Drosophila melanogaster: one gene and its partners. The protein of the gene in region 3 purifies or fractionates together with the protein of the main gene of each other region. This does not show direct contact. Each region holds a gene or a part of one and is shown on either strand. Other genes may lie near its edges.

Region 1 (3,127 bases), on a different chromosome or scaffold from region 3:
CGCAAGCGCAAGGAGGCAATTAAGCGCTTCCTCTGCTCCCTGTGCGGAATGGAGACGAGATCAGCCGCCGCTCTTGTGACCCATATGCGACGCCACACTGGCGAGAAGCCCTTCAAGTGCGATCTGTGCGAAATGGCCTTTCCCCGCCACTCAGAGCTGGCCTCGCACCGCCGGATGCACACCGGCGAGAAGCCATTCCACTGCACCGTCTGTGGCAAGGACTTTGCCCGCTCCGATAAGCTCAAGCGCCATATGCTTACGCACAGCGGCCTAAAGCCGCACAAATGCACCTACTGCGAGAAGAGTTACCGTCAGGCCAAGGACCTGAAGCTTCATCTCCAGCAGCACACCGGCGAATGTCCTTTCGTGTGCGGCACCTGTGGCGAGCGCTTCATCCAGAGCAGCACGCTGGAGAAGCATCGGTTGATGCGGCGTCACTTCGACGAGGTGGAAGCGTGGCTGAGACGCCAAAAGTAAGGGGCTCTTGCAATAAATACAATTTGGTCTAGTATAAAAGGAATGACATTATTATTTATTGGTCGTGGCGTGGCATCACTTCAGAAACAAGACAAATTACTACTTTAAATATTTGAGCATTAAATGTTTATGACTTTAGTTGAAAGTAAACTTTGGGTGTAGCATGGAATGCCTATTTGTGGCCCTATTCGCTTTACAGCTCTTCAGATCCAGAGCGCGGTTCGATTTTTACCAACTCCGTATCGAAGACGAGCACCGCATTGGGGGGAATCTTTCCGCCACCCGCTCCACTGGCTCCGTATCCCAGCTCAGGCGGAATCGTCAGCTTTCGCTGCTCACCCTCACACATACCAAGGATTCCCTGATCCCAGCCCTTGATCACCTGCCGAGCTCCCAGGGTAAAGGAGAAGGGAGTGCCGCGGGAGTAGCTGCTATCGAACTCTGTTCCATCCTGCAGTGCTCCCTAGAATGATTCCAAATTCGGGGTTAGGTCGGCTAGAGATCTTCCTTATCTGATTTCCCTTACTCTGTAGTGCACGTGGACGAGATCGCCGCCCTTGGCCTTCCGGGTGCAGTTCTCCACCCGCTTCTTAATGCCAATCTTCACTTTCGGATCGCTGGCAGCGGAGGCGGCCACAAAAGCGCAGATTAACAAAATATAAGTTAACTTCATCTTATCGAAAGCCAGTATCAAAAAACACTCGCGGTTTAGTGTGACCAGAGATCTACAATAATTTAACTTGTTCCCACTGCACACATAAAACCAAATAAATATAACAACTCAAATAGTTTTCAACGAAATTAAGAGATTAAAACTTGTTTTTTTTTTTTAACTTTGAAAAAATTAGTAACCAAAAGAAATTTTATGTAAATAAGAGAAAGATCAGAAGTGCAGTAGTATCGGTTCATAGTTAAAACCCAATCAAAAAAGGTCTCACTTAAATGCGAAGCCCGCGAAATTTAAAACTTCAAAAACCACTGCTGGACATATTTTTTCTTGTAATTTACAATAATATGAGTATAGTACAGCTCGGACTTAAAAATAACTTACGTACATTAAAGCTCATTTAAAATAGATACACACATTGTTTGATTACATATTTGACTTTCTTAAAACAAGGAGAGCTCCAAATAATGATCATTTGCTCCGGATTATATGGCCCCGAAGCGCGTGACAGTGCAAAAACAAAAATTGACATTATAAATATGCAACAGATTATCAGGAGATATACGAATGTACGATTATATCACAATAATAAAGGAATACATACAATTTAAATGATATTTAAAGCCCGACATACAACGAAGCCTACGCTTAATTAGGTGCCAACATTCAAGCATAATACTAATTTACACTAATATTTCGTATAAAACATAGCTACTATTATTACAAAGGGTCCCATTGATCAGTGCTGTAAGGGTGAAAGGTGAACTCAATCGCAAATTCGGTTTCCACTCGATGGGCTCTGCCGCTAACACTGCCATCTGGCTTTCAGTTGTCATTGGACAGATTTGTGATCTTGGCCGCATACATGCTGGCCACCTTGTAGATAAATTCATACTGCTCCTTGGTCTGTACGGCGCTGGCACGTCCGCGTCGCACGTAGTAAACCAGTTGGGGGATGTCCACGGACCGCTTCGGTGTTTCCAGACTGCGGATGGCCATGTCCGACGCTATAATGGTACCGGTTCGTCCCGTGCCTGGAGAACAGTGAACGGTTAGCGGTCTGCAGGGGGAGAGATGAAGAAGTTAAGACACAGAACATTAAAAAGCCATGCAACACACAACAACTGCTTTGATATGAATGGATGGAGATTATGTCAACCTACCCCTGCTGACTTCGTGTTCCGCTTCGACTTGAGATGTTTCCATTAATCTCGTGGCTGGACGTGCTGCCCGCCTCGGCTTTGCTGCCGTCCGCATCCATTGACGTCTCCAGGGTCGCGGACTTCTCGCGCAGCTCGTTGGCCTGCTCAAGGGAGTAGGACTTCAGCGAGGATCGCGCTTCCAGCAGCATGGCGATGATGGGCGCCTCCTCGGCCGGTACACCCGCCTCAGGCCATTTGTACCAGTAGTGGGTGAGCTCACGGCTCTCCTCGCCATCCACTCGCTTCAGAACCAATGTGGAAATGGCATAGCGATCCTTGACTTCGCGATGCTTGAGGGTCACCTGGTAATCGCCATAGCTGCTATGATTGTCCAGAGTCGCCGACGGTGGCAGGTACTCGGCGCACCTCTCAATTCCGTTCTCACTGAGATCCGTCGCCTGGATGATCACCCGCGACTGCTGTTCCCAGATCATGCGCCAGAAATCGCTGGTCGTGCTCTCCAGCGGCGCCTGGCAGGCTATGTAGTAGTTGGGTGCATCCCTCGGGCCCTGAAGTGATTAAAAAAGGTATCAAAATGATGTCTTTCCATTGGATAGCATACTAGTATTATTTGAATTTGAAGCTATCTAGCGTTTTTCGGCAAAAAGACGACGCGAGGTTGAGTAATGACATAACCATCAATTAAAACCGATTGCGGCTTAACTCTACCCCTGCCCACACAATGACTGGCGATCAGCTACGCGCGCCTCTCAGATAAACGATACCATAAAATCGCACAACAGACCTCTGCTGCTTGAATCTCGACATGCTTAGGTTATCG
Region 2 (6,568 bases), on a different chromosome or scaffold from region 3:
CGGCAGCGAGCTGACCGAAGCCTTCTTGCAGGACGAGCTGCACCCAAAGAAGATTCTACACCGACCGGCTTTTGCCAAGCCCAAGGGGCCACCAAACCGAGGCGCCAAGCGCCTCACGCGTCCCACCGCAGAGGACTAAGTCTGAATCCCGATCCCACCGAGTCAATTCTGTTTATCGCCCTTCTACGTACTGTTTCCTAGCAGAGCATTTAATTTATTGTATCCAATCGTTTATTTCTTTTGTGTTGTGTCTATCCCGTGTCTATATGTGTCCGTACGTCAGTCGATATCTTTAGAGGCACTAGGCATCAACTGAAACATCGCATAGCAGCCGCCAAAGTGGGCTTCCTTAAATGTATTCTTGTCTATGTAACTTTAGATGGACATATATGCAATTTATTTAAATTAAAAAAAGTAACTAAGTTCACACTGGCGTCTTCTTTAAGTCCTCAGGACTCACTTGATCGTGTCCAGCGATACATGTTCGGATGTTTTCTCGTCGTGGGCCTTGAAAAGCTCTGGGTTTTCGTCCTCTGTCAGTTTTTTGAACGCCTGTTGAATGTTTTCGTCGCGATCGAGTCGCCATTTGTACTGCCAGTAGCGAACCTCTTCCATCGAGGTCCCTGATGCTTTCATCAGCAGCAGCGACGTCACACCAGCCACGCCGCCCAAGAAACCTCCAATGATTCCACCTGCCGCCATGCCCCGCAGACCAAGACTCACTTTGTAAAGCGAGCCGGTGATGGAACCAGCGGCCAAGTATTCGTAGATTGAGGATTTTCCACGGTACACCGACATACAAGTGATGATGCCGCTGTAAGGAACACATTTTTGTATCACACAGATACAGATTTGAATTCGTGTTGCTGAACTTACAAGTAGGATGTGGTAAAAAGTCCCACTCGCCAGCCCCATTTGAAGCCGCCTTTGGCAAAGTTGACTGTGAATTGATCTTGCAGCTTTTTCTGTAATTATGATTAAAAACTTGATTATAACATATTTAAATGATAATACGTAGATACCTACCTTGGCATCAAAGTGCGATTTAAATGCTGTGGCCTGGTTGTTCTCCATGAAATTCATGTAGGCCACGCGCGATTGTGTAACTCCGCCGTAAATAGCTCCAATAAGGAATCCTAGGAAGCCGGCCTGGTAAACCGAGTTAAGCTCGGAGGATATGCTGCCAAACTCGCTATTTAAATGTTTATGTACGGTCAGTAGATTTTAGTATAAATGGAATTCTTAGTTTTCCTACTCGATTGTAAACATTTGCTTGAGGCGCTCCAGTCCTGTTTCCTCTGGTGGTTTACTGGCCAGAAAGGCCTTGTATGTTTTGTTTTCCTTATCGACTATTTCATCTGCGGCGCCTTCGAATGTTGGCAGGATGCCTGCGATCAGAAACCGGCGTCCTTTCCACAGAAAATTCATTTTTTAAGCGTGTTAAATAACCAAGTAAAACGAGTACAACAATCTCAGCTGTTTGCCGGTCTGTTAGTGTTGGAAAGTGTGCGTGTCATTGGTGTTGGCAAACTCTCGGTTTAATTGTTTTTAATTTAAATGCGTTTGTTATTAATAAAATTATATTATTATAATAATTTAAGTTACATACTCATTTAGTTGTTCATATATTTTTTTCTTATATCATTCACACTTTTAAATTTATTTTGTTGCCAAAAACAATTTTATTGTGTTTACAAGTATTTGCTATAACTTTATGAACTGCACCTTGTGCTTTGCTTTTGCCGTTTACCAACACAGCACAACGCCGCTAATCGCGTTGTCGGCAAACATTTGTTGTGAAATTTTCTACGTTTTTACAATTTAATTCATTGCAAATCCAATTTATTGTTATTTACTTGAACGCATAAAGTGCTTCTGCACTTTAGAAAACTGAAATCATGATGTACGACAACGAGGAAGGTGAGTAAAATGAATTGCGAAAATTTGTGCATGCACGTTGGCGTGTACCAAAATTAATATGGCGGCTGGAGCGCTAGGGCTCCGCATTGTTAGCAATGAATTTCAATGGTCAAATAACATCTTGCAGAACTGTACGAGGAGGAGAATGCCGAGGAGATCTCTCACGAGCTGTGGCAGGAAGCCTGCTGGATCGTGATTAACGCGTACTTCGACGAGAAGGGCTTGGTGCGGCAGCAGCTGGACAGTTTCGATGAGTTCATTCAGATGTCGGTGCAGCGCATTGTGGAGGATTCCCCCGCCATTGAGTTGCAGGCGGAAGCGCAGCACACATCCGGAGAGGTGGAAACCCCGCCCAGATTCTCGCTGAAATTCGAGCAAATCTATCTTTCCAAGCCAACACATTGGGAAAAGGATGGTTCGCCCAGTCCTATGATGCCGAACGAGGCCCGCCTGCGAAATCTAACTTACTCCGCTCCTCTCTACGTGGACATTACGAAAACCAAGAATGTCGAGGGCCTGGATCCCGTGGAAACGCAGCATCAAAAGACTTTCATAGGCAAGATTCCCATCATGTTGAGATCAACGTACTGTTTGCTATCACAGCTTACTGATCGTGATCTTACGGAGCTGAACGAGTGCCCGTTGGATCCCGGTGGCTACTTCATCATCAACGGCTCCGAGAAGGTGCTAATTGCCCAAGAGAAAATGGCCACCAACACAGTGTACGTGTTCAGCATGAAAGATGGCAAGTATGCCTTTAAGACTGAGATTCGGTCGTGTTTGGAGCACAGTTCCAGACCCACGTCTACACTGTGGGTAAACATGATGGCAAGAGGATCGCAAAACATAAAAAAGTCAGCCATTGGTCAGAGGATTATTGCCATCTTACCGTACATCAAACAGGAGATACCCATTATGATTGTGTTTCGAGCATTGGGCTTCGTGGCCGATCGCGATATTCTGGAGCATATCATCTATGACTTCGACGATCCCGAGATGATGGAAATGGTGAAACCTTCTCTGGACGAGGCTTTTGTAGTCCAAGAGCAGAATGTTGCCTTGAATTTCATTGGAGCTAGAGGAGCACGTCCCGGAGTCACAAAAGACAAGCGTATAAAGTACGCTAAGGAAATTTTGCAAAAGGAAATGCTGCCCCACGTTGGAGTATCCGATTTCTGCGAGACCAAGAAGGCATACTTTTTGGGCTACATGGTTCACCGGCTGCTCTTAGCCTCTTTGGGCAGGAGAGAACTCGATGATCGAGATCACTATGGAAACAAGCGACTTGATCTCGCTGGACCCCTCCTGGCCTTCCTCTTCCGTGGTCTGTTCAAAAACCTGATGAAAGAGGTGCGCATGTACACACAGAAGTTCATCGATCGCGGAAAGGACTTCAACCTTGAACTGGCCATCAAGACTAATATTATTACTGATGGTTTAAGGTATTCCTTGGCCACTGGCAATTGGGGCGACCAGAAGAAGGCGCATCAGGCGAGAGCCGGTGTCTCCCAGGTGTTGAATCGCTTGACCTTCGCCTCTACTCTTTCCCATTTGCGGCGTGTGAATTCGCCAATTGGCAGAGACGGTAAACTGGCCAAACCTCGTCAGTTGCACAATACTCTTTGGGGTATGTTGTGTCCCGCTGAAACTCCTGAGGGAGCAGCTGTTGGTCTGGTGAAGAACCTGGCGCTCATGGCTTACATTTCTGTGGGATCACAACCTTCTCCCATTCTGGAGTTCTTGGAGGAGTGGTCTATGGAAAACCTGGAGGAAATTGCTCCTTCTGCCATCGCTGATGCTACAAAGATCTTTGTGAACGGCTGCTGGGTGGGCATACATCGTGATCCTGAGCAGCTCATGGCAACGCTTCGTAAGTTGCGTCGCCAGATGGATATCATCGTGTCAGAGGTGTCTATGATTCGAGACATTCGAGATCGTGAGATCCGAATCTATACAGATGCTGGTCGCATTTGTCGGCCACTTCTCATCGTGGAAAACGGATCGCTGCTGCTTAAAAAGACTCACGTGGAGATGTTAAAGGAGCGAGACTACAACAACTACAGTTGGCAGGTCCTTGTAGCCTCTGGAGTGGTGGAGTACATTGATACCCTTGAGGAGGAAACGGTCATGATCGCTATGTCTCCCTACGATCTGAAGCAGGACAAGGATTATGCTTATTGTACCACATACACACATTGTGAGATCCATCCAGCCATGATCCTGGGCGTGTGCGCGTCCATTATTCCCTTCCCCGATCACAATCAGAGTCCGCGTAACACCTATCAAAGCGCTATGGGTAAGTTTATGAGTATTCATTACTGTTCTACTTGAAATACTAATCCATTTATAACGTTTTTTTCATCTTTTATAGGTAAGCAAGCTATGGGCGTTTATATTACCAACTTCCACGTGCGTATGGACACACTAGCCCACGTACTTTACTATCCGATGAAGCCACTTGTGACCACACGTTCCATGGAGTACCTGCGTTTCCGAGAACTACCAGCTGGCATCAATTCAATCGTGGCTATTCTCTGCTACACTGGCTACAACCAGGAGGATTCTGTCATTCTGAATGCATCCGCTGTGGAGCGTGGATTCTTCCGCTCTGTGTTCTACCGATCATACAAGGATTCGGAGAACAAACGTGTCGGTGATCAGGAAGAGAACTTCGAGAAGCCTCATCGCGGCACCTGCCAAGGAATGAGAAATGCTCACTACGACAAGTTAGACGATGATGGAATTATTGCCCCAGGAATTCGTGTATCTGGCGACGATGTGGTTATTGGCAAGACCATTACCCTTCCTGAAAACGACGACGAACTGGACAGCAACACGAAGCGTTTCTCCAAACGAGATGCCTCCACTTTCCTGCGAAACTCTGAGACGGGTATTGTGGACCAGGTGATGCTTACGCTCAACAGCGAGGGCTACAAGTTCTGCAAGATTCGAGTGCGCTCGGTGCGTATTCCGCAGATCGGCGATAAGTTCGCTTCTCGTCACGGACAAAAGGGAACGTGCGGCATCCAGTACCGTCAGGAGGACATGGCCTTCACATGCGAGGGATTGGCACCCGATATCATTATTAACCCCCACGCTATCCCATCTCGTATGACAATTGGTCACTTGATCGAGTGTCTGCAGGGAAAACTGGGATCCAACAAGGGAGAGATCGGTGATGCTACACCCTTCAACGATGCCGTCAACGTGCAAAAGATCTCCACCTTCCTTCAGGAGTACGGCTATCATCTTCGAGGCAATGAGGTCATGTACAATGGCCACACTGGACGAAAGATTAATGCTCAGGTAAATTGCTTAACTTTCAACTTGCAATAATCTTAAACTAATCAGTCCCTTAACTACAGGTCTTCCTGGGGCCCACCTACTATCAGCGTCTTAAGCACATGGTGGACGACAAGATTCACTCTCGTGCTCGAGGCCCCGTCCAGATCCTGGTGCGTCAGCCTATGGAAGGTCGTGCTCGTGATGGTGGCTTGCGTTTCGGTGAGATGGAGCGTGATTGCCAGATCTCCCACGGCGCCGCTCAGTTCCTGCGAGAACGTTTATTCGAGGTCTCCGATCCGTACCGCGTACACATCTGCAACTTCTGTGGCCTGATTGCCATCGCCAATCTGCGCAACAATACGTTCGAGTGCAAGGGCTGCAAGAACAAGACGCAGATTTCCCAGGTGCGACTCCCATATGCGGCCAAGCTTCTCTTCCAGGAGCTGATGTCAATGAACATTGCGCCGCGCCTGATGGTCACCTAATCAGATCGGTATCCGCAACCGGACCACATAATAGCCCTAAGCTAAATGCTAGCAGTTAATTATTAAATTACCATAATTGTGACAACTCAATTATGTGCTTTGTGTGGCATTTTCTATTATTCCCGGAACTGGAGCGAATACCTGCCGAGCATTTTTAAAGACGCGAACGTGCCACAAGCGTATTTTGGGCGAAAGTCTGCACGGGTTCAAGAGCTGTTAGTGGAATGTGATTTATTTGCTTATTTGTAATAAGTTATTTTGCTCACAAACTTTTCTTGAGAGGGCAAATAGGGCATTGAAAGGTTTTGGTATTATTTGTGATTAAATTTTTGTTGGCAATTTAGTTGTCAATCCCTGTACGTTTTAGGACATCAAATAATCTGCGTTCTGACTCTTTATTTGCTCCAATTTTTCTTTGGTAATCCCCTAACAAAGTCCATTATCCAGCAAAATACCTTCGCCCTAAGCGTATCCTAAATTCGGTTTTTTACATAGAAAGCCTTTCCATTCGCATTTATTTTTTTGCCAAGCTTTTGTTGCCTTCTTTGATTTTGACGTAATGCTTTGGCCCGCGGTCTGTGACGCCCAGTGACAAAAGGGATTAGTTCTTTGTTGTCGGATGTGGATTGTGTGCGGTGGAGAAGGTGGTGGAGCTGTAGCCACAGCCGCCAATCGACTGACAGTTATTAATTGCCACTTGACGTGGCTCCGACGGAACGAGCAGCATCGGCCCAACCGAACTCGTGTCGCTGCCAATGCTGATACCAATGTTGGGGCTGATGGCCAAGACCATGCTGACACCCATCAGTCAGCCCGCCTGAGCCCGGCTTATGAGTAATTGAAATTGCGTGTAAATCCGCGAACGCGAAGTGGCGCCG
Region 3 (2,819 bases):
CCATCGATTCAACCATCCAGCCAGGCAGCCAGCCAACCAACCAACAATTGGACTTTAGAAAACTTGGAAAATGCAAATTGATCGAGGTAAATTAGTGGAAAATTGCTGCGTACTGGAATTTAACTATTTAAGTGGGACATTTTAAGTTTTATTCACACATAATTGATGATTCTGCAGGAGTTATTAGTAAATCCTCATCGATCTTCATGTAATCATTCAAATGTTTTGTAATATATTATACATAAACCACATTGTCCAAACTTTATTTACTTATATTTGTGTTTTTTAAGATTTTTCTTCAATTTGATTTAAGATTTTGCAAGAATGTTATCCAAAAGCTAATGTATTTTGAACAGTAGTTTGAAACAGGAACATATTTGAGATATTTTCTTAAATTTTCTTTGGTTGCCCCTCATGTTGGCCACACACTTTCTTTTTATTTTCGCCAATCTGGAGAAATTGATTGGCCACAAAGGTTCAAGGTTTTACCCATTGTTCTGGGGCTTGTTTACCAAGCCAAATACGTTGTTGGCCGAAAGGTGAAAGACAAAAGGCCGCCAAGGTCAGTAATCGGCCGTGAACCAATTCCCCAGACCATTGATAGATAGATACATTTGTATCTTTATATTTGGGTAGCTTCGAATCGATGGCGGCTGTTTACGTTACGCTGAGGTCGTCAAGTTTAACAGTTGAAGGTCGGCGGAGGCGTTTAAAAACGCTAGAAAAACGCGCACGCACAGTGGGACGAAAGCGAAGCCAAGTGGGACGTTGGCAAGCGGGGGTGTGGCTGGGTGGTGGGTGTTTTAGATGTTTGTGTGGTTAAGTACATTAGCAGATTTATATCCGGCAACAATAAAAAGAACGATTCGCTAAAAAGCTAATGACTTGGATAATGATTTCGATTTTGTTTTCAATTTCGCTCGCTTGGGCTTTTTTCCTACTTTTTGTGGCTACCCCCCCCCCCCCCCCTTCGTCACTGTTGTTTGGCTTTTCAATATTTCAATTTTCCATTTCCCATTTTCCTTTTTTTTTTTATTACTCATTTTCCTTTTGTTTTTGGTGCTTCTGCGGGATTCGTGCGTCAATAATTAGATCATCTCCGCGCTGTTTGTTGTAGACGATTAGCGAAATCAAAAGCCAGCGGCGCACAAAGAAAGCGGAACGACAAACACAAACATATAGACTAAATGGGAAATATCATTTCCATTTCGATTTTGATTTTCATTTGTGTTTGGTTTTCCTTTCAGTGTCCAATTTTAGCACATTTCTTGGGGGCCACAGCGGGCGTTATGGAATAGTGATGCATTACGCAGGGGATTCCCAAATCGAACATTTATACATATGTAGATTTATCTATTCAAATTCATACTAATTACATGCTAATCACAACGGTTAAGAAATGATTAAGTAGAAATATTGCATAATAAATCCGAAATATTTAGACCTTAATCAAGTTGGGTTGTAAAGTTGCCGAGTAAAAACCTTCATTTACCTTGCCGTTCCTGTCAGCTTAGACATCTCTCAGTGACCTCTCAACTTCTCACAATCTAAAAATTGTGCTTTCCGGTTTCGTTGAATAAATTCACTAAACTTTCTTTCGATTTTGCAGCCATGTCCATGGAAATACGCATCAAGTGCCGCGAGATGTTGGCAACCGCATTGAAATCGGGCAACATGCCACCAGGATGTGGCGATCCGGATGACATGGCCGCTAAACTGGAGGACGCAATTTACGGCGACTTGAACGGCTGCAAGGTGAAGTACAAAAATCGCATACGTTCGCGTTTGGCCAACTTGCGCGATCCGAAGAATCCAGAGCTGCGCCAGAAGTTCCTATTAGGTCAAATAACGCCCGAAGAGTTATCCAAGATGACGCCCGAGGAGATGGCCAGCGATGATATGAAGCAGATGCGCCAGAAGTACGTTCAGGACTCGATCAATGCGGCACAGATGGCCAAGGTTCAGGGCACCAAGACGGATCAGTTCAAATGCGAACGCTGCGACAAACGCAACTGCAGCCAATTGCATATCCGTGATGGTGACGAGCCCATTATCACCTTTGTGATATGCGACGAGTGCGGCAACCGCTGGAAGAGCTAGACAACCGTGGAGAGAGTCCCTTGAAGGAGTCACCCGTCTTGGCTGGATACCAAGCAAACGAACTCACACAATTCACAATATCTCATATCAATAAACAGACTGATCTTCCGTTGGCTTCCACAATATGTAAATAATACTTTAACAAGAATACATACAACATACAACATACAACATACATATTATGGAAATATATTACATGTCATAAAAATCTTATTCATTCGTTTTAAATACCAGAGGGTATCAATGAGTCCATCATCGATGGATGCTCCTTTGTTCGCCTGCGAAAGCAGATAAACTAGCACCGAAAGTCCGAAAGAAAGCAAATCTTTGTTTCATAAACATTCAACAATATACGAGTTTGCTTGTATAAAAAACGAGCATAGCGCGAGCGTTAATTTAATGAATTTTTCGACTATTAGTTAGCACTTTACACTTTAATGAATCATTCGGCGCGATGATCTCGGAGTGGGTGGGATCGGATGGGATTGAATTGGATTGAATTGAATTGGATGAGATGGTATATATAGTATAGTATACTATGTTTAGTATGCGTGGGTCGTTTCCAAGTGCAGACAAATTATAGACGTTAAAGCATTTGCTTTATGGCCCACATTAACGGCATTGAATGGGATTATGGGTTTGGGATTCAGGTTTGGACTGCGAACTGGGATGATAGGTGGACTCTTGATGGGCACAATGGGAATTGCTCCCCAGAGACG

Evidence for each region.
Region 1: the proteins of CG8117 (region 3) and CG14715 purify together in Drosophila melanogaster (affinity purification with mass spectrometry, with the first as the bait; one large-scale study listed by BioGRID). This does not show direct contact.
Region 2: the proteins of CG8117 (region 3) and Polr2B purify together in Drosophila melanogaster (affinity purification with mass spectrometry, with the first as the bait; one large-scale study listed by BioGRID). This does not show direct contact.

Annotation. Positions count from the first base shown.
Region 1 is NT_033777.3:11,672,305-11,675,431, reverse strand, and holds CG14715 (uncharacterized protein), read right to left. Parts: upstream 1,212-3,127; 5' UTR 1,151-1,211; coding exon 1,004-1,150; intron 941-1,003; coding exon 671-940; 3' UTR 509-670; downstream 1-508. Other genes in the region: CG18476 (uncharacterized protein), read left to right, coding at 1-477; CG42327 (uncharacterized protein), read right to left, coding at 1,970-2,204, 2,308-2,855.
Region 2 is NT_033777.3:14,124,049-14,130,616, forward strand, and holds Polr2B (RNA polymerase II subunit B), read left to right. Parts: upstream 1-1,742; 5' UTR 1,743-1,898; coding exon 1,899-1,920; intron 1,921-2,047; coding exon 2,048-4,216; intron 4,217-4,291; coding exon 4,292-5,226; intron 5,227-5,285; coding exon 5,286-5,690; 3' UTR 5,691-6,063; downstream 6,064-6,568. Other genes in the region: twf (twinfilin), read left to right, coding at 1-139; 140up (upstream of RpII140), read right to left, coding at 457-814, 877-965, 1,027-1,192, 1,256-1,428. UniProt on the Drosophila melanogaster protein: DNA-dependent RNA polymerase catalyzes the transcription of DNA into RNA using the four ribonucleoside triphosphates as substrates. Second largest component of RNA polymerase II which synthesizes mRNA precursors and many functional non-coding RNAs.
Region 3 is NC_004354.4:15,642,680-15,645,498, forward strand, and holds CG8117 (uncharacterized protein), read left to right. Parts: upstream 1-1,542; 5' UTR 1,543-1,611; coding exon 1,612-2,100; 3' UTR 2,101-2,312; downstream 2,313-2,819.